Daphnia pulex: one gene and its partners. The protein of the gene in region 3 interacts with the protein of the main gene of each other region in a biochemical or structural test. Links are inferred from orthologs where the notes say so. Each region holds a gene or a part of one and is shown on either strand. Other genes may lie near its edges. The genes, in order: SUMO-conjugating enzyme UBC9-B; serine/arginine-rich splicing factor 1-like; DNA topoisomerase I, mitochondrial-like.

Evidence for each region.
Region 1: the proteins of DNA topoisomerase I, mitochondrial-like (region 3) and SUMO-conjugating enzyme UBC9-B form a complex in vitro, tested with the Homo sapiens proteins (2 studies listed by BioGRID, with this or other methods). The link is inferred for Daphnia pulex from reciprocal best matches to the Homo sapiens genes TOP1 and UBE2I.
Region 2: the proteins of DNA topoisomerase I, mitochondrial-like (region 3) and serine/arginine-rich splicing factor 1-like form a complex in vitro, tested with the Homo sapiens proteins (2 studies listed by BioGRID, with this or other methods). The link is inferred for Daphnia pulex from reciprocal best matches to the Homo sapiens genes TOP1 and SRSF1.

What each region holds. Positions count from the first base shown.
Region 1 is NC_060018.1:630,542-637,682, forward strand, and holds SUMO-conjugating enzyme UBC9-B, read left to right. Parts: upstream 1-3,353; 5' UTR 3,354-3,506; exon of another isoform or gene 3,507-3,600; 5' UTR 3,601-3,609; coding exon 3,610-3,675; intron 3,676-3,750; coding exon 3,751-3,834; intron 3,835-3,947; coding exon 3,948-4,065; intron 4,066-4,127; coding exon 4,128-4,272; intron 4,273-4,342; coding exon 4,343-4,421; 3' UTR 4,422-4,581; downstream 4,582-7,141. Other genes in the region: glyceraldehyde-3-phosphate dehydrogenase 2-like, read left to right, coding at 656-733, 795-1,289, 1,356-1,613, 1,673-1,840; receptor-type guanylate cyclase Gyc76C-like, read right to left, coding at 5,021-5,995, 6,069-6,676, 6,748-6,892, 6,963-7,061, 7,137-7,141. UniProt on the Homo sapiens protein: Accepts the ubiquitin-like proteins SUMO1, SUMO2, SUMO3, SUMO4 and SUMO1P1/SUMO5 from the UBLE1A-UBLE1B E1 complex and catalyzes their covalent attachment to other proteins with the help of an E3 ligase such as RANBP2, CBX4 and ZNF451.
Region 2 is NC_060024.1:10,558,624-10,566,122, forward strand, and holds serine/arginine-rich splicing factor 1-like, read right to left. Parts: upstream 5,433-7,499; 5' UTR 5,251-5,432; coding exon 5,081-5,250; intron 5,025-5,080; coding exon 4,920-5,024; intron 4,793-4,919; coding exon 4,659-4,792; intron 4,598-4,658; coding exon 4,425-4,597; intron 4,367-4,424; coding exon 4,324-4,366; intron 4,263-4,323; coding exon 4,099-4,262; 3' UTR 3,624-4,098; downstream 1-3,623. Other genes in the region: zinc transporter ZIP3-like, read left to right, coding at 1-50, 182-291; U4/U6 small nuclear ribonucleoprotein Prp3-like, read right to left, coding at 496-2,262. UniProt on the Homo sapiens protein: Plays a role in preventing exon skipping, ensuring the accuracy of splicing and regulating alternative splicing.
Region 3 is NC_060019.1:12,289,641-12,297,291, reverse strand, and holds DNA topoisomerase I, mitochondrial-like, read right to left. Parts: upstream 5,250-7,651; 5' UTR 5,071-5,249; coding exon 5,032-5,070; intron 4,459-5,031; coding exon 4,387-4,458; intron 4,316-4,386; coding exon 4,208-4,315; intron 4,144-4,207; coding exon 3,937-4,143; intron 3,869-3,936; coding exon 3,573-3,868; intron 3,232-3,572; coding exon 2,915-3,231; intron 2,846-2,914; coding exon 2,702-2,845; intron 2,646-2,701; coding exon 2,370-2,645; intron 2,307-2,369; coding exon 2,209-2,306; intron 2,146-2,208; coding exon 2,010-2,145; intron 1,943-2,009; coding exon 1,827-1,942; intron 1,762-1,826; coding exon 1,624-1,761; intron 1,566-1,623; coding exon 1,369-1,565; intron 1,303-1,368; coding exon 1,150-1,302; intron 1,082-1,149; coding exon 979-1,081; 3' UTR 628-978; downstream 1-627. Other genes in the region: trypsin-1-like, read left to right, coding at 1-274. UniProt on the Homo sapiens protein: Releases the supercoiling and torsional tension of DNA introduced during the DNA replication and transcription by transiently cleaving and rejoining one strand of the DNA duplex.

The DNA of each region.
Region 1 (7,141 bases), on a different chromosome or scaffold from region 3:
TTTTATAACTTTTAATTGATTCAGATTGATAGTATACTAAATTTTCCAATTGTTACGCTAAGTTAGCTTTTATATTACCATCGTGTGTTTTGCTCGTCGTGCATGATATATTCACGCACCAAACTTTCATGGTTAGGGAAAATGGCGGCTATAAAAATTTCCAGCACTCTAGAACATTCGAAAGCAACTATAAATAAATTATCTGTTAGCTGAAAACTATTCTAAATTTGTTCGACGAAATTGTCGATTTTACGGAAAATTCCGGTGTGCGTGTCACGTCGACGGGCGGGACGCTTGAAGGTCAATACAAGGGCTTCTACCTCTCCCCAAAACACTATACAGTATTTTCTACAGTGGAGATGTATTGATCTTGTCCTGCCTATTTTTAGATCCAAAGACTCCTTCAACTTAACCTTTACTGATTTTATACTTTCTACTAGTCAAAGTATATATATAAAACTACACAAGACCAAATGTTAATGTTTAAATCCGGTAAAATGTGGTTTTGCGTCATCTGCTGAGAACAGCTGTTTTTGACAAATCAATAGTTTTACTGTTGCTATGCTAAATTTAACGTTTAAATTAGGCAAATGGAGTTTTTAATTTAATTTTTTGTTACCTTGAGCAGTTATCACCTCCTCAACTTCACCTAAAGATGTCGAAAATCGGTATTAACGGATTCGGTCGTATCGGCCGCTTGGTGCTTCGCGCTTGCATCGAAAAGGGAGCTACGGTAAAACATAATTAATTAAAATATTAATGATTTCACTCATTCTGACATTTTGGGATTTTAGGTTGTTGCTGTCAATGATCCCTTCATTACTCTTGACTACATGGTGTACATGTTCAAGTATGACTCTACCCATGGCCGCTTCAAGGGAGAAGTGAAGGAAGAAGGTGGCAAGCTTGTTGTCAATGGACATCACATTCAGGTCTTCAGCGAGCGTGACCCCAAGAACATTCCATGGGGAGCTTCTGGAGCTGAATATGTTGTTGAATCCACTGGTGTTTTCACCACTTTGGACAAGGCCCAGGCTCACATTGATGGAGGAGCAAAGAAAGTTATCATCTCTGCCCCATCTGCTGATGCCCCCATGTTTGTTGTTGGAGTCAACCTTGAAGCATATGATCCTTCCATGAAGATTGTTTCCAATGCTTCTTGCACCACCAACTGCCTGGCTCCTCTGGCTAAAGTTATCAATGACAACTTTGGTATCATTGAAGGCTTGATGACCACTGTCCATGCCATCACTGCAACCCAGAAAACCGTCGATGGACCTTCTGGAAAGGTAAAATACTTTTGGAGAAAAAAAAAATGATCACATACTAACCTTTTGAATATTCGATCATTGCAGTTGTGGCGTGATGGCCGTGGTGCTGCCCAGAACATTATTCCTGCCTCTACTGGTGCTGCCAAGGCCGTAGGTAAAGTCATTCCTGAACTGAACGGAAAATTGACCGGTATGGCTTTCCGCGTACCCGTCCACGATGTCTCCGTTGTTGATCTGACCTGCCGCCTGTCCAAGGAAGCCAGCTACGACGAAATCAAGGCTGTCGTTAAAGCAGCAGCTGAAGGCCCGATGAAGGGTATTTTGGGCTACTGCGATGAGGAGGTAACATCATTAGAAACATTTTACATTAAAGTTGATTGATAACGTGAGATTTTTTGTAGGTCGTCTCCACAGACTTCATTGGTGACAACCACTCTTCCATCTTCGATGCTGCTGCAGGCATTGCTCTCAACAAAACTTTCGTCAAGCTGATTTCATGGTACGACAACGAATTTGGTTATTCGTGCCGTGTCGTCGATTTGATCAAGTACATGCAATCCAAGGATTAAATCAATAAAGCTGCATTGTGGGATGAGTCACTGGCATACGTCTTACAGCAGAATAATCCGTTACTTATTCTGTTAATGTTGTCTAATTATCTATCCCTCATTCTTGCTACCGCACTGGCTACAACGATTGATGTTTGTTGTTGGTCGTCCTTTCTGTAGTCTGAAATCCCAATCTTAGATGTCTGTTACATTGGCTACAGGAATATAAACGTTTGTCACAAAATTTACATTTCAATTTTTTATTATCAGCTCATTTTAAATCAACATTTTGATCTTTAATTTATTGATAAAATATCATTATCATAAAGAAATTTACTTTCCACATACCTGCTCACTTTGGTGACAGTAATCTCCTTTCATGCAACGCCATATATTTGCATTCAAACGTGCGAATATGTGAAGGGAACACGAAGCTTTCAAGACGCGATTCCCCAGTACTCATTGGTTACGCCTAATAATAAAATTATAGTTAGTAATCTGAAATAAAACATTTACAATTATGCTCTATAATATGATTGACATTTCTCTGTAACAGCCAATACTGACGAGGAGTTATATTCAAAAGATTTTTTTAGATATGGACATTATTCTATTACTTGACAGTTAACTTTCTCAGAAGCATCTTCCTGAGCCCTTCAGGAGTCATTTGTTATTCAGTGCAATGGTAAAAATAAAGACAGACTCACAACAATATTACATAGCACACTACGTTTCCAAGCAAGAAATTAGTTTAAAAACTGGCACATGTAATAATCTTTGAACTATACAAAATAGTGATTCAAGCACTATTGTTTTGTGAAATCACCAATACATCATATCTAATGAGTATTTAACAGGATATTTTCCGCTTTGAGATACCCAAGTATGTTTCATTCCCTTCCACTTTGGCACTAACACATTCAACCCTTCTATGCGAGAAGTACCTAGCTGAAACAACCATAATAGGGAATAACAGATCTTCATTTAATAAATTTAGAGTTTGTGACCTAATATGACAAATTAACTGATGTTTTCATACCTTTCTGAACATTCTATATCAATTTTGTAGTTTCCCCATCCACAAAGTTAAACTGAACTGAGGCTTTAGGATTAGAGATTATATCATTCTTAATTCATTCGAGACATGGTTGTTTGCACCTTTTTTCGTTTTGTCTTCGTGTGATACCTTTGTGGTTTGTCACTAGTTGATTCACGTGTTCGAATATTCTGGAAGCATTACGTAAACGACGCTTGGCTTGTCTCGAATGTTGAACGATCAAAGCTACATGAGATGGAAGATATCAATGATTTTTTTTAACACTTGATTTTTCAATTTGGAATTTAAACAAAATACAAGAACTTAAGATGCATGCCTGTGTGACTCACTGCTCTGTTGTTTTTTGAACCATCTGGGCGCCATCTTTCATAGGCAGTGGCAGCATAGCCAGTTCATTTTTAATTTTAGTTGATGAAAACTAAAACTAAAAATGCTTATGCATGCTACAGCCAAAATGGTTTGATTTCATTGAAATCCATATTTTACATGCAAATGTTTCATCATTTATTCGTTTAAATCCCCAAATTAAATTTTAAATTGATTTGTAATTATTCGAATTACCTTAAGGCAACCCTGGCAATAATTGTACGAAACTACACAGCTAAATTATTTGGCAGCCGTTGAAAAAAGGTAACTATTATTTATTTAAGAGCTGTTGCATCTTGCTTTCTTCAGTCATATTCACACTTTCTTATTACATCACACTGAAATTTTTATTCTCTAGTGACCAATAATGTCCGGTATTGCTATTGCTCGACTTTCTGAGGAACGTAAAGGCTGGAGGAAAGACCATCCCTTTGTAAGTTGCTGGTTTGCCAAACGATAGTTGTTGGGTTGTGTGTGTTTGATTTGTGTATCTTTGCGTTGCCTTTAGGGTTTTGTTGCCAGGCCCACAAAGAATCCTGATGGAACCCTCAATTTGATGAACTGGGAATGTGCTATTCCAGGCAAGAAATCGGTAATGAGTTTTACACTTAAAGATCTTACTTCACATTGGTGTCAGATATACTTACCAAATTCACTGTTGTTTGAAGTAACAATATTAAGTGTAACTTGTGCATACATTTACAGACTCCCTGGGAAAATGGATTGTACAAAATCCGTATGATTTTTAAAGATGACTACCCCTCTTCTCCTCCAAAATGCAAATTTGAGCCCCCACTTTTCCATCCAAACGTCTATCCATCAGGTTGAATCAAATGGCTATTTGAGTGTTTTGTTTTAGCTAACCTTTTGGCATTTAATATCCAGGCACAGTTTGTCTATCATTGTTGGATGAAGAAAAGGACTGGAGACCTGCAATTACCATCAAACAGATTTTGCTTGGAATTCAAGATCTCCTAAATGACCCCAATATTAAGGATCCGGCTCAGGCAGAAGCTTATACTATCTACTGGTAATGATTTTTACACCAGTAGACAACTTGAAAGTTTGGATTGTAATATTTCATTTGATTATTTCTCCAGTCAAAATCGAATGGAGTACGAAAAACGTGTTAGAGCACAAGCCAAGGCTATGGCTGCCACCACTGATTTGCTGTCTTAATTTCCCAAGTAAATCCAGCTGTCAAGGAATAAGTTAACTTCTTTTTCTTTTCCACGTGCTCTATTTGTTTTTTAAAAATTCTTATTGTCTTCATTTCAATACTTACTTATCGTCCAGAAAACATACTCCGATCTGAAATAAAACGCTAAGTAAGGTGTAACACTTGTTGACCTTTTTTTTTTTCAATTACGTCACTTGACTATTTTATTTGGTTGTGACCTACTTTGTTGATATGCGTTTTATCTGGCGAATATCTGATTATGAAGACCAAACTTCTTTTAACTACTAGAATTCATCAAAGGCTCTCTTACCTGATTAAAATTTGAACTAAATGGGTTATCGATGTACAAAGTGCAAAACAAGGTATGTAAAACAACAACCGATTTATCACAATATTTTCAGCAGCGACAATATTACAGATACACTAAAATCAAAGAAAACATTCCGACTTGAAATCGATTAAAAATCTTAACCGAGAAGAATCGGAGATCGGGTATGGCATTTTCAAATGGCGAAATATACGAATCACGAAACAAGTAAAGCAAATTTGTCATCATGTAAAAAGACTGTGGAGGATGCAAGAATAAGGAGGCGCAATTTCACACAACGCTTTCTCTGTCATCACGGTGGAGGTCGGAAAAGTCCTCTCCCGTCTGCGGATTCCGACTAAAAGCATCACCTCCGTGACCCACGCCGAACAGATTGACTATCCACCGCTTGACGTTGGGCACGCTCTTGCTAACAGTGGGGGCGATGACCGTGTCTTTGCCTTCTTTACCGAGTCTCTCGCCCGATGTCGAATGTTCCAGTTGTTCACAAGAGTATCTCTTTTCAGACTCCATCAATCCACAGGCTGTGAGACTGGGCCGATGCCGAGTGCGATCGCGACTGAGCAGAGTCTCGGAATTGACGTCAATCCCTTCGTCGTCGTTTTGGAGTAACCTGACGGCCTGGTAGCCCGAAGTCTTGATATGTCCGTTGGGTCGTGACAATTCGGCTTGCTCCGGTTGATCCCCGTTCGGGATTGTCAAGACGACGTTGTGATCGTCGCTGAGAAGTCGAGAATGTTCGTCTTCAGTGTCATCCTGCGACGCGCAACTGGGCAGCGGCGACCGGTCTATCAAAGTCGACCTCAATTCAGACGGGAAAAGATCCAGGGATTTGGATTCTTTCCTGCGACGCTGATTCGACTTGTTTCGAGAAGGGAAGACTTGAGGAACGCAGAGAAACTGCCGGGGACCATGACTAACCGAACTCAAACCGCCCGCTCTCTGCTGCTGCTGCTGCTGCTGCTCCTGATGCTGGTGGTGGTGGTGGTGGTGGTGTTGTTCATCTTCGTCTTCGGGAAATCGACCGAGTGACTGGCATCGCCTTTGAGGTAACAGCGGACTGGCTGTTGTTCCGCTCCGATAATCCACATCACCGCTCTCGCTCGCTCCCTCGGCAACGATTTGAACTTGGCTGGCATGTGCGCTGCGCGTTAATAGGCAACTACGCCGTAGACTTGCATTTGACTTGGTTGTTCGAACTGAACGCAGAGACCGAGCCGATTGGCTCGTTTTCCTGTCGAAAAGCTGTTTTGTTTAAAAAGAAATGGAACGTGTTACCATGGAAACTTTCAAAAGGGAGAAAATGAGAAATTTATACTTTCGGAGTTGGAGGTTGATTGGTGCTGATGATGCTGCTGCATATCGAGTCGCTATTGGAACCCTCCAACAATTCGGCCGAATTATCGTGGTGATACATCCTGTTGGGCTGGCCTTGTGTCCGTCCTTGTTGCGCAGCCAGCGACGAGCTCATTCGAATGCTCCCGCTGCCAACGGGCCTCGAATCGGACGACACTCTCCTCGTCAGCATCGATTCCGCCCTGTGAAGCATTCGAGGACTCCTCCGGCGAAGATCCGACATGTTGCCGGCACTGCCGTTGGCGTTGGAACTCGCTGCTCCGATGGCACCAGACGGGCGACAAAAGAGTGGCGCTTGATCGGGTCCAACGTCCGCTCGTGCTGTAACAGCTCCACTTGTGACGCCAATCAGCCAGTGTGTCAACACTTCGCCTTTGCCCTTCATGGCGACCAGTCCTCGTTCTTCCGTCACGTAACCGCCGATCTTTTCCAACGCCTTTCGACACTCGCAACTGATGTGAATCCTCAGGGGCTCGCCGTTCGATTCCATCCGCGAAGCCGTGTTGACCGTGTCGCCGAACAAACAATATCTGGGCATCGTCAAACCCACTACTCCGGCCACCACGGGACCTGTTTCATCATATCGACAAAAATGGTTTTTTACCCTTTATTTGTATTTATTTTAAACTTGTGTATTGTACCGGTGTGAATTCCGATCCTGAGTAAAACTGGATCTTTAGGTCGATGGGACACGCGATGATTCTTGACTGCTGATAGCAAATCAAGCGCCATCGACGCAATCATGCCGGCGTGTAGATCGCCGTTGGGTAAAGGCAATCCAGAAACCTGTTTTCACCCAATTTTAGATGAAATTAAGTCAAAAATGAAAACAAGTTGTATATATTGTGAGACTTACCACCATGTAGGCATCTCCGATGGTTTCCACCTTGTACACATCGTAACCCTGGATGATGGAATCGAACAAGGTGTACAAATCGTTGAGAAAGTTGACCACCTAATTGCGGAGAAAACAACGCCCACAAAATTGTCAAATCTAAATCGAGTTACAAGTTTTTAATAAAAGAATTACCTGGA
Region 2 (7,499 bases), on a different chromosome or scaffold from region 3:
ATCCGTTTTCGTCGGCTTTGTCCTCCTGTCATCACTTGAAGCCTTGGGCGGTTAGTTTCCTCCTTTTAAAAAAATTCTAAATTCAATTTCGCTGAAAAGGAAACTATTAAAAAATCTGTTAGAAATGACAATCACGAACTAGTCTAATAAATACCACCTTTTTCCTTATGCTGCGTCATAGGTCACGGAGAACCAACAACAGATCACCAAACACAAACAACTGTCGGATTATCGTTTGTTTTGCAACCCGTCACGACACCACGTTACACCTTCTATTCACCGAGTGCCTGAAAAGCTGCCCAGCGTCAAAGGATATATTCTGTCATGTTCCTGCGAAGACCTGTATAACATTCCCCGTTTTTGTACACAAAAAAAGAAAAAAAAAAGAAATAAAGACAAATCTTTTTATTGATGGTAATATTCAAAGATGAACGTTTGGTTCAAAAATGAAAAGAAAAAAATAAAGAGTTAAAGTTGATGGCAGAATGAAACCGATCACTTTTCTTCAGTTTCTTCCAGCACTGCTGTGGAATAAGACAGGTCCCAGTAGTGTTCGACGCCGTGTTTGCGAAAATGTTCTCGAGCCACAACCTCCGATGGGCAAAGTTTGAAGATGAGGTCACCAAAATTGCGTTGTTTGGTCGTGCCTTCCCAAACGAGCTGGCAGGAATTCCGCGTTTCGGGCTGGGAGGATGAACCAGTGTCGTGTTTGCTAACCTTGACGGCGTCCTCTTCCCACCGAATGCGATTGAGCATCAAGCGTTTGTACTTCTTCTGCTGTTTAGGGCCTCCTTCGACTATAACGACGTTAACGTCCTTGAAAATGACTGCGCATCCCGTCATGTAAAGCTGCTTGGCATTGGTCTCGATTTTGAATTTCTTGGATAAATTGGACAAATCCTTGATCCGGTAAATCGCCACATGCACACCGCTCGTTGTCGTGTCTTCTTGGAGCTTTTTCTCCTTCTTTTCGCGTCGCTGGTCAGCCGTCAACTTTCGAGAGGCATTTGCCTCCTGGTGATTTTGAAGTCGTTTGGCCATTTGCTCGCGGACGTGAGCTTCAATTTTGGTTGGATCCTGGATGGCTTCGTTGCCCAACACGCGCATCAAATTAGAAATTCGAACTTTTGCTTGAGGTGGCGGTTCCAGTCCCAAACGGATATTTTCTTGTTTCTCCTTCCAATTTTCACGTCGAGTGGTGCGGCGCAACTTCTTGCGCTCTTTCTCGGTGAGAAAGACGGGCAAATAGGGCAAGGCCAGCGGGTCGGTGGGAGCACGCATTTGGATGGGATGTTCGATTAAATTGGTAATCGTCTCCTGGCGTAAATTGGGCTGTCCGTCTTCGCCTTCGTAGCTTCGTGTTTGCAAGATGACCGAGTCCCACCATTCCAAATCAATGTCCTCCTCCTCCTGACGATCGCCAACTCGTGGGGCAACTAGAGCAAGTGCAGTGACTGAATTGATGCCAGTCTTACGGGCAATTTGAGAGATTTCGCTTTGCAATTTGTCTAACTGAGCCTTCATTCGCATTCGAGATGCCACTTGCTGAAATTTGCCCTGCTCGTGAAAGTGGAAGGTTCTGCGTGTTCTCACGGAGGATTTGGCTGCAACACGTGGATCGAAGAAGCGACTTTCCGTCAAATTTCCCGCTTCCTCGCTTTGTTGTTGAGATCCTTTGCCCATGTGAGTCTTGAGCACCTCGCGTTTTTTGGCACGAATGTTTGCCTTGAGAGTTGGTGTGTATTGGGCCAAGGCAATCTCTTTACCAGTCGCATCAACTGTCCTTCCATCAGCGTTGAGAATAAGTGGGCCAGGTTTCGGCTCATTATTAGACCCTTCCCCTGTTGATGCAGGGACACTGGCTGTTTTAGGAAGACTCAAGTTCAATGTGGCTAAAGTGGAGGTGGCTAGTTTTGACTGAATTTGAGCCTGTAGTTCAGCAATCTTTCTGGCACGCTCATCCATTGAAGATGGGGGAACGGCTTTAGGAGCTACAGGTGTTGGAAGTGATGAGAGCACTGGGGTAGTCTTGAGAAGAGCTGGCGGTTGATTGAGAGATCGTTTCCTTTCCTCAATCATCTTTTGAGCATTCATCATCATTTCTCTAATCTGAGAAGAAGAGAGTTGTTCAGTAGTATCCTGGTCACTCTTTCCATCTCCATTGCTGTCATCCTGGAATCGTGATTTTAACTTTTTTGCTTCTCGACCAGGTCCATCGAGTGAATCTTCTTCTTTAGGTCTTTTTATGCTTGTAGTAGCCATGATTGGAAATACCCCAAAAAACCTATATCACAGATGCCTAAAAAAAAAGAAAGAAAAGTTGTTGTTTACTGAAGAGAAACATTCTGCTACAATGTTATTATAGTGACAATTTTCAACGTACTGAAAATATCTTCTAACAATGTTTAATCTATGACAAATGACGAATGTATTGTGAAATAAAATCATCGGTTTATTGAAGAAAAAACAAAATTATTCTTACCAATGCTTCAATCTTCCACTGTAGTTCGTAACTGCAGGTCTAAACTTGCTCTGTTTAGAGACCGGTTAACAACCGATAAGAGCCTATTGATGCACAGAAAAATCGTAGAAATTCAGATGATAAACTCAAAACGCTGTACAAATATATAATTTCAAACTATATGTTTTTTTGAGTATGCTCAAAGTGAATGTGTAATTACACTATTTTGGGGGAAAATTTGTACGTTTTTATACGTTTTTGGTTACCCAAGCAACGCGAAGACGCCATCTAGAGGAATCTTAAGGAAGTACTGGGACTTTCGTAAAAAGAAAAAGAAGAAGCAAGCGCTCAAGTTCAAAGCATTTTTGTTTCTCATTTTTGGTTCCAAGGACAAGGAGATATAAATTTAGAAAGAAATCAAAACTAAACAAAAACCTATTTTTTTTCTCTGAAACAGTTTCTACGTTAAGTTTCTATGGTGAGTAATCGTAATGCGAATTGTTTTAATTGTTCTTTCTGTGTTTAAGACGAAAAGCAACTTTGTATTTTAAACACGTCATCAAATTTTTGTTTTAGTCTAGAGAACAGAATAATTTTGGTCATAATTTTTTTTTCAAAAGCATTTCACTGGTTGTATTAAATCGTATCATACATAAAAAAATTGTCATTAAAATGGTAATACTGTTTCCAATGTGCCGAAAACAGAAGTATCGGTAAACATCGAAGGAATTTCTTTGTACTCCAAGGAAATATCACCATTTGCAAGGCATGTATTATTTCCATTTTGTCGTCATCCGTCGGTTTCTTCTTTCTCTGTATGATGATGAAAAAAGTGCCTGAAAATCAAAGGGTAAGCAATCCTAAGTTAACTCTTGTCTTAGGTCGGGCTCAATTCCAAAGTGCCGGAGTCCAACAGATCTCTTTAAAATAAACGGGTCCTGACAAGGCAAGTCCACAGCGATTCACCACGACGGTTGTAGACAAAGGAGAAGCGGTTGCTGTTTCCAGCATATCCTCCAGATCCTGTCACCTATCAATCCACAATGCATCCATCCAAATCCATTCCAATGAAATCCAAATCCAATGCAATCCAAATCCCACAACAATCCCATCCAGAGAGAGCAATAACCTTGCTGTGTACGCTACAAATAGAAAGGGGAAGAAAATGAGAATCATGTTTATTCGACGCACAGCTATTTTGTGTATTACAAGAGGGAGGGGAAAAAGGAAAGGATGAGGTTGCTCACGGAAAAAAAAAAATTAGTTGGTTGGAATCGGGGAGCTCTGAGGGTATTCGAAACCAAAAAGGATTACGTGTACGTCGAGAAGAAACTGAATGATTAGTAGCAATAATTGCAAATGCCAAAATCATAACCCAAGAAACATATTTTGAGTTTCTCATAAAAAATTGAAATCTTTGATGTAGCTTGTTGTAAAAAAAAAAAAAATTGGTTTTTGCAATTTAAAAGATTTGCTATTCATCTAAGAATTTTGAAAATATAGTATGAACCATGGAGACAATACCAAAGACCCCTTTCCTCCTCCAGTCCTTCCAATCCTTAAGCTTTTTGTTGTCCACATCGCACAACTTTTGTCTTTTTGTTTAGTTTTGCCTTTTTCTCGTTTCCATAACTTTTTTAAGATCGTGATCTGGAACGAGGTGAGCGTGAGCGCGAACGGGAATATGAACCACCACGACGAACGGGGGAATAGCTGGGGGAGCCGCGACTTCCACGTGTTTTGCCGCCACCACCGGCTGGAGAATAAGATCGCGATCGATCACGAGTTCCGCCGCTGCGACCTATAGAAGAAAAAATTCAAGGTCAATATTTACTTTAAACAAAAATTGAAATATAACTTACCGTCTCCGCTATCTTCCTTAACGCGCACATATGATACTTCTCCCTGTAAACGTACGAATAATTTTGAAAACTTTGTTTATCAAGATTTGTAGAAAATATACCTCATGTGAACGGAATCTTGAGTCATCTAATTTCTTGATGGCGTATTTCATATCCTCGTAGCGAAGGAATTCAACCATTCCAGTTCCATCTTTATAGGTATCAGCATAACACACATCACCAGCTTCTCTCATGTGATCTTTTAAATCTTGCCATGATCCAGTAGGAGGAAGACCTGTGAATATCAAAAGTGGCTTTAAATGATGGTTTAAAACTTTACTAAATGTTTAACTCACCAGTTACAATGACTCTGTAATTTGTTCTTCTTGCTGGTGGCCCTCGACTCCTGCCTCCACCATTGCTACCCCCACCATCACCCCCTCCTCTACCTCCATCACCACCTCTTCCTCCACTTCGACCACCACTACCCCTAAAAAATAAATATTATGAAAAATTAAATTAGGATTTTTACTTGTTTGTCATAATTTCTTTTACCAACAAAATAAAACAATCACAACTAAATTACAAATATGGTATGTGAGGATAGAAAAACTGACCTGTGTCCACCACCAGAATTCTGTGATCCTCTTGGAAATTCCACTCTCAAACGATATCCATCATAGTCATAGCCATCACGAGCATGCACAGCATCCTCAGCATCCCTATAAAGTGCTTGTAATTAACTAAACAAGGAAACAAATATAACCATGCAACATACCTGGGATCTTCAAATTCAACAAAAGCAAAAGGAGGTCCTCGTCGGTTCTTTAAATCAATGTATGCAATCTTTCCAAATTTGTAGAATAAGTCTTCAATGTCCTTAGTGCGAATGTCGGGTGGCAAGTTACCGACGTAGATTCTGGCTTCATTGTTGCGAGAACTTGACATACTGACTGTTTCTTGTCACTTACGGTTAGTTGCCAAATGTGTATGTTAAATCGAATTCGAATACGGAATTTGCTTTTTCGAAAAAAGACGTCACAGTAGTCTTGGGTGTTAGGCGCCCCTTGTCAAACAGAAAAATGCCGTAAATTTTTCTGAACGGGTAATGGCGTCAGCCATGGAGCATTGCCAGATCAGCAAGTTGATAACGCTTTTATTTTTATTTTTTGTCTTTTTTTTATAGTTACTATTTTTGTGATTTTAATTTTTTTTGTTTGCCTATAAATCTAGCAAATAAATCGCGGATGAAAATTAAGTTGAAATAAGTTCATATTAGTGGCTTTGTGAATAATTAGGTTTCAAAGTGAACACGGTGGCACTCTAGTAAGCGCAAACCGAAGACCGAACCACAGCTATTAATGGTTAACTCAGTTATCTCAAAATTATGCTTGTTATCTTGAGTACTTCTTTGTTCTGGTGCAATTAACTGAATGACCCTTGCATGCAGAGCCTATTGCGCGACATTTTTGTTGGGCTCTTGGTAACGACGTTCGCGTGCAATCTATACCTGGTATAAAATCGTACATCAAGGTCGAGTTCTTTTCAACCGCATTGACGTAACGATCAACTTTGTGACAAGGTCATTTGCTCTGGGGGTTATCTCCTTTCAAGAACTGGTATAAATAAACCGGCATTGGTTACAACAATAACCTATCTTTAATTTTTCAGTGGTGCATTTATTCCTTTTTTCCTGTGAAATTTTGAGTTGGCTTGCCATAAGCAATAGCTCTGAAAATTGTAAGTCTGAAAAATAGTTGAGCGTGCCATAAGGGATAAGACAACTTAGATTTGAAATAATAATAACAAAAAAAGTATTTATGTTCTTCTTTTGTGTTCCTTATTATATTTCACAATGTTTTGTTTTGTCCGTTCCGCCCGGAAATGTGATATTTAAAAAAGTATTCTAACAGCAGCAAACGGAAACGCTTATAAATGTTGACGTCACACATTTCATTTTAATTAAAAATTTTAGCAAGGAGAAACGTGAATAATTATTATTGTTAATTATAGTTGATAGACTTTCAATAATTTCCCTGTTTAAAAAAAACGCGCCTTTTGTAACTATCGTTAGAATCACTTGGTTCTATCATTTACTTCTACCGATACTTAAAGCCTTAATACGTTGGAGCAAGGTATTTGTGCGATAGGCAATTGACTGTCAATTTTAGTCCCGCATTTTTTTGCTACGGTTACTACTGCCCTCTAACGGAAAACATTCATTCAGTCAAAAACGTTTTTCCCTCATGAATGCAATATGAAAAATAAATGAGAAATCAAATGTTGTTAACCTTGTATTTTACTAACCAAATTGTAACCATATTATCATGATAGTATGTTAGTATGTTGTTTGAATGAATCAGTCCACTGGTGGCGCTTTGGACACAACTTGACTTACGAACATCAGAGTTCATGTAAGTTGCTGGTAACAGGCCTTTGTTAATATCATTGAAGAAGAACTTAACCGTCTGCAGATCTGCGCCGGTCAGAAAGATCTTGAATTTAACGTTGTCAGTTCTGAGTGTGCTTGACTCTATAGTTGATTTACTGTTGCCGAGGTCTGTGCAGTAGAAACTTCTAGGTTTTTTGAAAAAAAGAAAAGATTTAAGGCTGGTCCTTTAAAACAAGTATTGATTTATTCATCATTTTAGCACTCAAAGTGGCCCTATAACGCAACAGGTCTGATTCATTCCCACTTTTCATCTCCTCCTGCAGAAGTTTTGACAAAATTTTAAAAGAATGGCCGATCGAAAAGCTGTTATTAAAAATGCGGATATGTCGGAGGAAATGCAGCAGGATGCAGTAGACTGTGCAACACAAGCCTTGGAAAAGTACAATATTGAAAAGGTCAGTCAAAATACTTGAGTAATTGGATATTTCAAACATTAAAAACAATGTGTTAAAGGAACAAAGTTGTTTGCTTTCGCTGGTTGATTCATAATACGTTTTTCTCATAGGATATTGCTGCATACATAAAAAAAGAGTTTGACAAAAAGTACAATCCCACTTGGCATTGCATAGTTGGGCGGAACTTTGGTTCTTACGTCACTCATGAAACCAGACATTTCATCTATTTCTACTTGGGGCAGGTGGCAATCTTACTCTTCAAGTCTGGTTAGGGTAACCAACTAGATCCTAATCATTCAACAAATACACATTTTACAAGGTTTTACACTCACAAAAGTGATCCATCCCCA
Region 3 (7,651 bases):
GTACGACGAAGGATCCCCATTGGTCCAGAAAATTTCCAATGAAGATGTTGTTGTTGGGATCATGTCAAAGAACCGTGGATGCGAAACAAACGGTCCACCTTCAATTTTTACAAGATTATCAGCTTATTATGCTTGGTTTCAAGCGAATGCTGGTTTACAGCCTATTACTCCGACCACTGTTTCAACTACAACTTTAAAACCTACTGCTCCAACTGCGCCATGCATCAATTGCGTTACTGCTTCTTACAACATGCAGGAAAACCCTTACGAATGATTCTACACATTTCTACGGCTGAGTGTTCACCCAAAGAACTGTGACAAAATAGTTACTTTACCTGTAGTTGTGTAGTGGCTTAGATTTTAGAACAACTTCCTTTAAATAAATTTAAGAGTCAGCAATACTGCAAGTGTATTAAGAACTTGAAATTGCTTTCGAAAAATTTAAAAATGTACCGACGACAAATACGTACGTAAATTACGCAAAAACTCTGGTTTGTTTCAATCTTACAATTAACTTAGCTATACATGTATTTATCACGCCAATAAATACCGCAGAACCTCCCGTAAACTAACCAAGACTTCAAAGACGCACGTCTTGTTTCGCGTGCTCTTATAAAAGAGGCAAAATTAAAGGCTATAAGAATTTTATTTTTCAAGCCTACGCAGCTTTACTTTTCACACCGCTACACAGAAAACCGCCGAGAAGTTGTTGCGAGACGAGAAAGAGATGGAACAATTGGTTGGCAAGAATCCGACAGGCGGACCCACACATTCCATGAAACATGGTACAAACACATGAGAAGTTTTATAATGATAAAAAAATTGACCCTCAATAGAGGGTTCTTAAAGAGGGAGGCAGTCACATTTTCCTTAGCAAACGACCGTATACCTTTGCACTTCAATTGCCATAAATTAAGGTATGAAGACAAAGGCTATCAACTCATTGTAATGTCTAGTTAAGTGTCCCAAAATTGTCCGTCAAAATACAAATTCGGGTCCCGCCATGTCAATCGCCCATTGGAATTTCTCTCTCTGGGTCTTATTGTAAATCTTCTCAATAGGTACATCATTTTTCTTGCACCTGGTTAGACAAAAGAGAAATCAATAATTTATAAACACATTCAGACATTGACAGTCATTCAATGTTACCATGCAACGGAAATACGTGGATCTAAGTAATTCAACTTGGAGGTACCCAACGCAATCTCCTTGTTTTCTTCCCTGTCTGTAGCTTGAACTTCCAACTTCATTAATTGCTCCTTGAGTTTCTCGACTTGCTTCTCTTTTTTGCCTGCTGCAATTCTATAAACAGAAGAGAAGTCTATGGTTAAACAAGTTCAATTGTGAAATGGTTAAAAAAAAAATTACTTTGCAGCAGCGGATCCCGTTTTCTTGGCTTCTTTTTTCAGATCTTTAAAACTTTTCTCTGCGTCTTCAATAGCTTCTCGTTTTGTAGTTATTTTTACTTGGAGATTTTCCATCGATTTAGCGAACGTCTTCGGCACAGCACGTTGATGGTTACAAAGGATAGCTACAGCACGATTAGCCCGGTTGTATGCCAAAATCTAAAAACAATTGATATTAGTACAAGCAACGAATAATTGCAAAGATTATCATAGCTACTTTTTCAGTAACCGAAGATTTCGGATCGGTTAGTTCGTCCAGCTGTTCTTGCAGCGTATTGGAAGCGTTAAAAGTACGGAACACTTTAGCCGTAAGCCCTTCCATTAGATCGTTCAGATGTTTGTTCATGATGGTGGTCTTCATGGAGAAAAAAAAAAGGTCAATTACAAAACCCACCCGATTATAACAAGCTTACGCCTTACATTCAGTCGATCAAAGAGATCGTCTCCTGGTTTTTTATTTTCCATAAATATCTGTAGGTTTTTGAAGACTCGCTTCTCCACTGGAACTTCATTGTAGTATCGAATAGAATCCTTACCTAAATTTCAGAAAAATGTAGAAATTATGTTATGGTGAGCGTTAACGTACACATAGATATTAATTACCGAGAAAATCGAAGACTACAACACACTGTTTTCCTTCCTTCTGTTCGTGAAGTGATATATGTTCAACTCGCAAAGAACAAGCACCAACAGTATCGGCCTGATCTTCATCTTTTTCGTTACCTGCCCTGAGCGCCAACTGCAATGCAACATAGAGAATAAATATGCACGACGAAAATAATTAGAATACAAATTGACCTACCTTGTCAATAAAATATAATGCAACGGATCTTTGACGGATTTTCATCTCTTTTGATTTCCAATCTTCTTTGTAGGTCTCACGAATTTTATCGACAGAATCTATGTAAAAAATATATTAACATATCATTTCATGGGATATTTTATAACAGTTGACTAACACACCTTTCAATTGACGGGCAATTTCATATTTTTGCCAATCCTTCTCTCCTTTCAACCGAGATGCTGAATTCAACATGATGTATTTCACTTGCCCTTGGACGTTTTCTGTCCACGAAGCTAGCCAGGTGACGGTATTGTCACTACGAACTTCTTTCCATTTATGGCCAGGAGGAGGTTTAGGTGCAGTTCCTTTAGTACAGTTAATGATGACATCTTCTGGCATTACCCTCCGCTTTACCATCCCCATTTTAGGATGATCACCACGACCACGAAAGAGACCTTCAAACAATAGAATTAGCATTTTAAAAAGAGAAAAACTTTAAATAATAAATTACCCGGCGGTTCAATTTTGAAATTGCCAATACGTTGTTTGTGTCCATCAATAATACACCATCCATATTCCTTAACCATTTCTTCATTTTCTGTTTTCAGCTGAAGTTTTTCTTCTTTGGTCCTGTTCTTTCTCTCTTCAGATTTAGCTAAAGAAGGAAACATGGGATTAACAACCATCAAAATTAATTAGAAACTAGCAGAAAATTTTGACAAACCTTTAAAATAGGTAAGCATGTAGGTGAAATCACACTTTTTGAGATCAGTAATAATCTCTTTCTCAGAATGAGTCATAAATTTACGCCAATCTTTGAAAAAATTCTTATTAAATACATCTTTAGTCACATAGTCATGATCCAGCATAGCAGCATAGAATGATCCAACTTCTTCAGCAGCTGTACTCAATTTCATTTCTTGACCATTATACTTAAACTTGACATTTCCTGGCAGGGGTTCATATTGTGTAGCAAACACTGGACCCTTATGCTCTAAGGATTTCCATTTAACTCCATCTTCATGCTTCTCTTCTTCCCACCTAAAGAACAAAAACAAACGTTATTTTAGAACACAGGTTACTTTAGAAGGTTGCAAAGAAAAATAACATGGGATAACGAATTATTTGTAAGAGTTAAAATACCACGGTAAATATCTTATATCCAAGGATACATAACGTAAAACTAAATTTGACGTAAAATGATTTTTAACTAAAACATATGATGAAACAAATGCATTTCTCGAAAGTGTTGCACTAATAAAAAAACGGCATCTTAAAACACAAGCCGCCATGCTTACGATTAACTATCGATCACAAAATATCGATATGGACCCGTTTTGACATTTTTTGTTTGAAATCGTTACTTTAAACAATAGACATACCATTTCCACGTTTCTTCCTCTTCTTTTTCTTTTTTGGCTCGTTTGGTGGGCGAACCATTTGGAGTGGCTGGTTTCTTGTTTGGCTTTTCTTTCTTGTCCTTCTTTTCCTCTTTTACTTTTTTAGCTTTCTTCTTAGAAGCTGAAAAATCATCATCATCCAAATCTTCGGCCTTTCTCTTCACCGGTTTTTCAGCTTTAACTTCAGCTTTAACCTCAGGTTTAACCTTTTGGCGAAAAGCTAAGGGTTGATCATCATCCTCAGAATCCTGTGAAGTCTGGCTGAATGAGCGAGAAGCCTTAAGCAGAAAAAAAATCAAATAATTTTAAAACTAGTCAAAACATGGAAAGGTTTATCAACACTTACCAATGGTACATCATCATCTTCAGACAAAGGTTCATTTTTAACTTCAACATATTGGGATTTTTCAGCTTTGTCTTTGGATTTGTCCTTCCCTTTCTTCTTTTCTTCTTTTTCCACCTTTCTATCCTCTTTACTATGCTTCCGGTCCTTGCTGCGTTCTTCTTTGTCATGCTTTCTATCTTTGTCCTTAGATTTGTCTTTATGCTTATCCTTAAAAATAATATCACAACAAATTAATTGAATATTTAATTAAATAGTTTAGAACTTTTACTACCTTATCCCTATGCTTATCCTTGTGCTTGTCCTTGTGTTTATCACGGCTTTTGTCTTTAGATTTCTCACGATCTTTATCTTTATGTTTGTGCTTGTGAGAATGATGGTCCTAAACAATAAGATATCAGTTAGTTCAACCATATTAAACTTACTCATGTTCAAAAAGTATTTTGCTTGTACCTTATCCTTGGATTTATGGCGATCCATGCCATTTGACAACCCAGTCAACATATCTTTTCCAGCACCATCACCCTATCAAATCATTAAATAATAAAATTAGCCAATGAATTGGAAGTCATTGATTTCCATGACAGTAATTTTTTTATGAAACACAAGCTCATGAATGATATTATTTGTAAGTCGCTACCGAAATGTACTGTAAACAAGAGCGTTCGGTTACGACGAATTTGTCATCATTCTAACTAAAAGGTAGGAAAATATCTGTTGAGCTACATCTTTTGGACTCTGAAAATCTGACGCCATGTCAGCGCGTTTTCGGGTTAGAAATTCAACTTTTTAAATTTAATTCCACGTCAAATGTTCAACAGATTTTCACGAAAATTGAAAGAGGAATTGAACTCGAACATGCGATCTTGAAACCAAAAGTTATTTGTTAGCCGCCCTCAAAATAAGGCTTGTCAACCGTTCCAAAGAAAGAGGTTTTTGACGAAGGGACTTAGCCGCTGACGGCCATTTTGAACTTAGAAAAATTTCGGCCGACTCCGAGGGAAATCCATAGATTCTCCATTCCAGTATTTGCCCGACGTCTTACCGACACACTTTAAAATTGCACGATTTGATTGCTAAGAATGAATATAAACTTACTGATGGAGGGGTATGCTTATCAACTTCTGCTGAGCCCATTTCGTTGACAAATAAAGGACGACTTTTGTGGACCGGAGCGTTTTTTCACAAAAAGATAGAGTCCAAACTTCCAAAGCCAACTACACCAACATGGCCAGGTCTTTCATCCGGACGTTCAGCAACGGACCCAAGGACTTTTCTCACAGGTCATATCTTCAGCGCTCCTAGCGTAGAAGTGAGCAAACTAACAATTTCTCATTCTCGTCCATGAACCTCAACAGCAATGCCAACTATCAGTAAAAATTAACCTAACGAAAATGCAAAAATCTAAAGTTCCTGACGAAGTCTGTCGAGTCTGTCACGTTATTTATTATTACTATTTGTATTCGAAACGTTTGCGATTATGCAAATTTGTATTGCAACAGAATAATTTAATCATCAAATGTTCATAATTATTTTTTAAGACTTATCTACCCGTAAGCCTAAAGGGAAAAAGCTATTGTAAACGGAAAATAATTTTTTTCGTCACATTTATTTAATAATATTATCATTTATTAATATATAAAAATTACTTTTTTCTTGTTAAGTGTACCAAAGTCGATAGCGACCTTACAGTCTTATGGAGACACCAGATGCTTAAAACATTTTTAGTGGACGATTGAGTTGAAGGTGATTTTTATACATGAGTTGAATGGCCGTATTTTAGTGAACAAGCAGTGTAACAGTACCAACGTGCGGCACAGGTACACATCAAAGTCTTTATGCCGTCACCAAAGAACAAGTTAGAATGCCACAACAGCATCTGCAGCATTTTTCAAATATTAAATTTTATTTGAATTCGTTCTGCAATTTTATTTGTGCTAGGAAACGGAGCGAAAATTTGGTATCAGAATGGATGGAACATTTGAAAAAATCACTTAGTGCAAATTTACATAAGACAATAAGCCATTGAAGGCGAATTGATGTTTACTTGTGTTTACTTCTCAGTCGCATTATTATTTAATGTTACTTCAACGGAAGTAGAAAGAAATATACTACTTATCCATTTTAGGTCATATCCGTAATATTACCAATCAGCAATAACTAAGGATAAAACTGTTTAAAGTCGAGTGACTTATTTTGGGTTTTGCTGAGTTAATTCGATGTTTTCTTTTGTGTTAATCTTGGGTAAATTTACTTCAAAAATCTCCAATCCAATTTTGTGTAGACTTTGAACACTTTAGTTCTATTTCGTTTACTCGAGCGTTTTACGGTTGACCAGAGTAAATGCTACATGCACTCCAAAGCTTCTTAACCTAGCTTAATCGGTACAATCTTAAAACTCAAATCATTCTTTGAAAACATGTTTATGCCAAGTAAACACGATGGATGTTTTCTCATCGTCTAAGGCAGTAAGGCGAGCCCGTCGCAGAGATAGTGAACATGGGACCCACAATATGCCAAATCTTCCTTTTGTTAAGTCCTATAACATTGGGGAGGTATATAGTATACTACATATACCTGGTCGAATCGCTTCCCCTTTTTTCTCTATTGTCAACTTTGAAGAGAATGCCAGCTCCAGTAAAGGCGTGAAAGAAAAATGATCTCAGTAAGGGTCACTTGAGGTCGCCTCAAAGGACTGCAGTTCAATGTCCATGAATATGTGACTTCGATATTCAGTTCTAACCATACAACTCTTCTTCATGTTTACTGAGATTGAGATCAACAGATTGGTGTTGTATTTTCAAAGCTGTGAGCTGTCTTATAGTATGCTGTCTCACTTGACTTGGCTGTTGGCTGACTAAATGCATTTGCCTCCGCTTTCTCTGTGCAAGAAAGAAATAATCTGTTCCCGCTCTAGCGTTTGCAAGTAATGAGGGTTTTATTTTGTCGAATGATATAAAATATGTTTTTTTTTATGTGAATGTGATGAGAAATGATTATTAGCTAGCTTTAAATCCCCAGACGATCTCGTGGTAAATTCTTTCGACCTTTAAGGACATCAGTCATCGTAGTCATGGTCACATTTTCGAGGTCATCCCATCTTTTCAATATTTATTGACCTTGTCAATGAAACGGAGTACGTAAAGATTTGTCTTATAATGTCTAGCAGATCAGATCAGGTGATACATAATTCATTGCATCCATTGCTTATCCGGAATAAGGGGCCTCGAAAAATCTTAGCTATTGCGTCCCTCTTTTTTCCATTGACCTACTTCTCTTTCCGCTCTTCGACCAGTATTGCCCATCATAGATTCCTATAAATCAACACATTTTCTGTGGAGTAGTCACATTCCTTGAGATCGAATGTTCGAGTCAACTTCATTCCAAGTGTTAACTCAAATAATTACACTTACACAGTTCTCCGGTTACAATAACATCCTTACAGTTATTTAACAGATCGGTAAAAGCGTGTAACTCATTCAACTTGAATAATGAAGCTCCTTATTTACTGGTGTATTGCTAACTTTATCGCTGATTTTATTGGAGTGGAGTGTCGAAGTCCTTCGGTGAACAATCTTTATCGTAACCGCCCATCCACAACAATTTCACCGCCGACAGAGGAGACATCACAGCAACAATTTTCCACGACTACTCCTCCTAGTTTATCAACTGTTGCCACCGAGAAGAGCAATGACGGGTTGCTTACTCCACCGGTCAC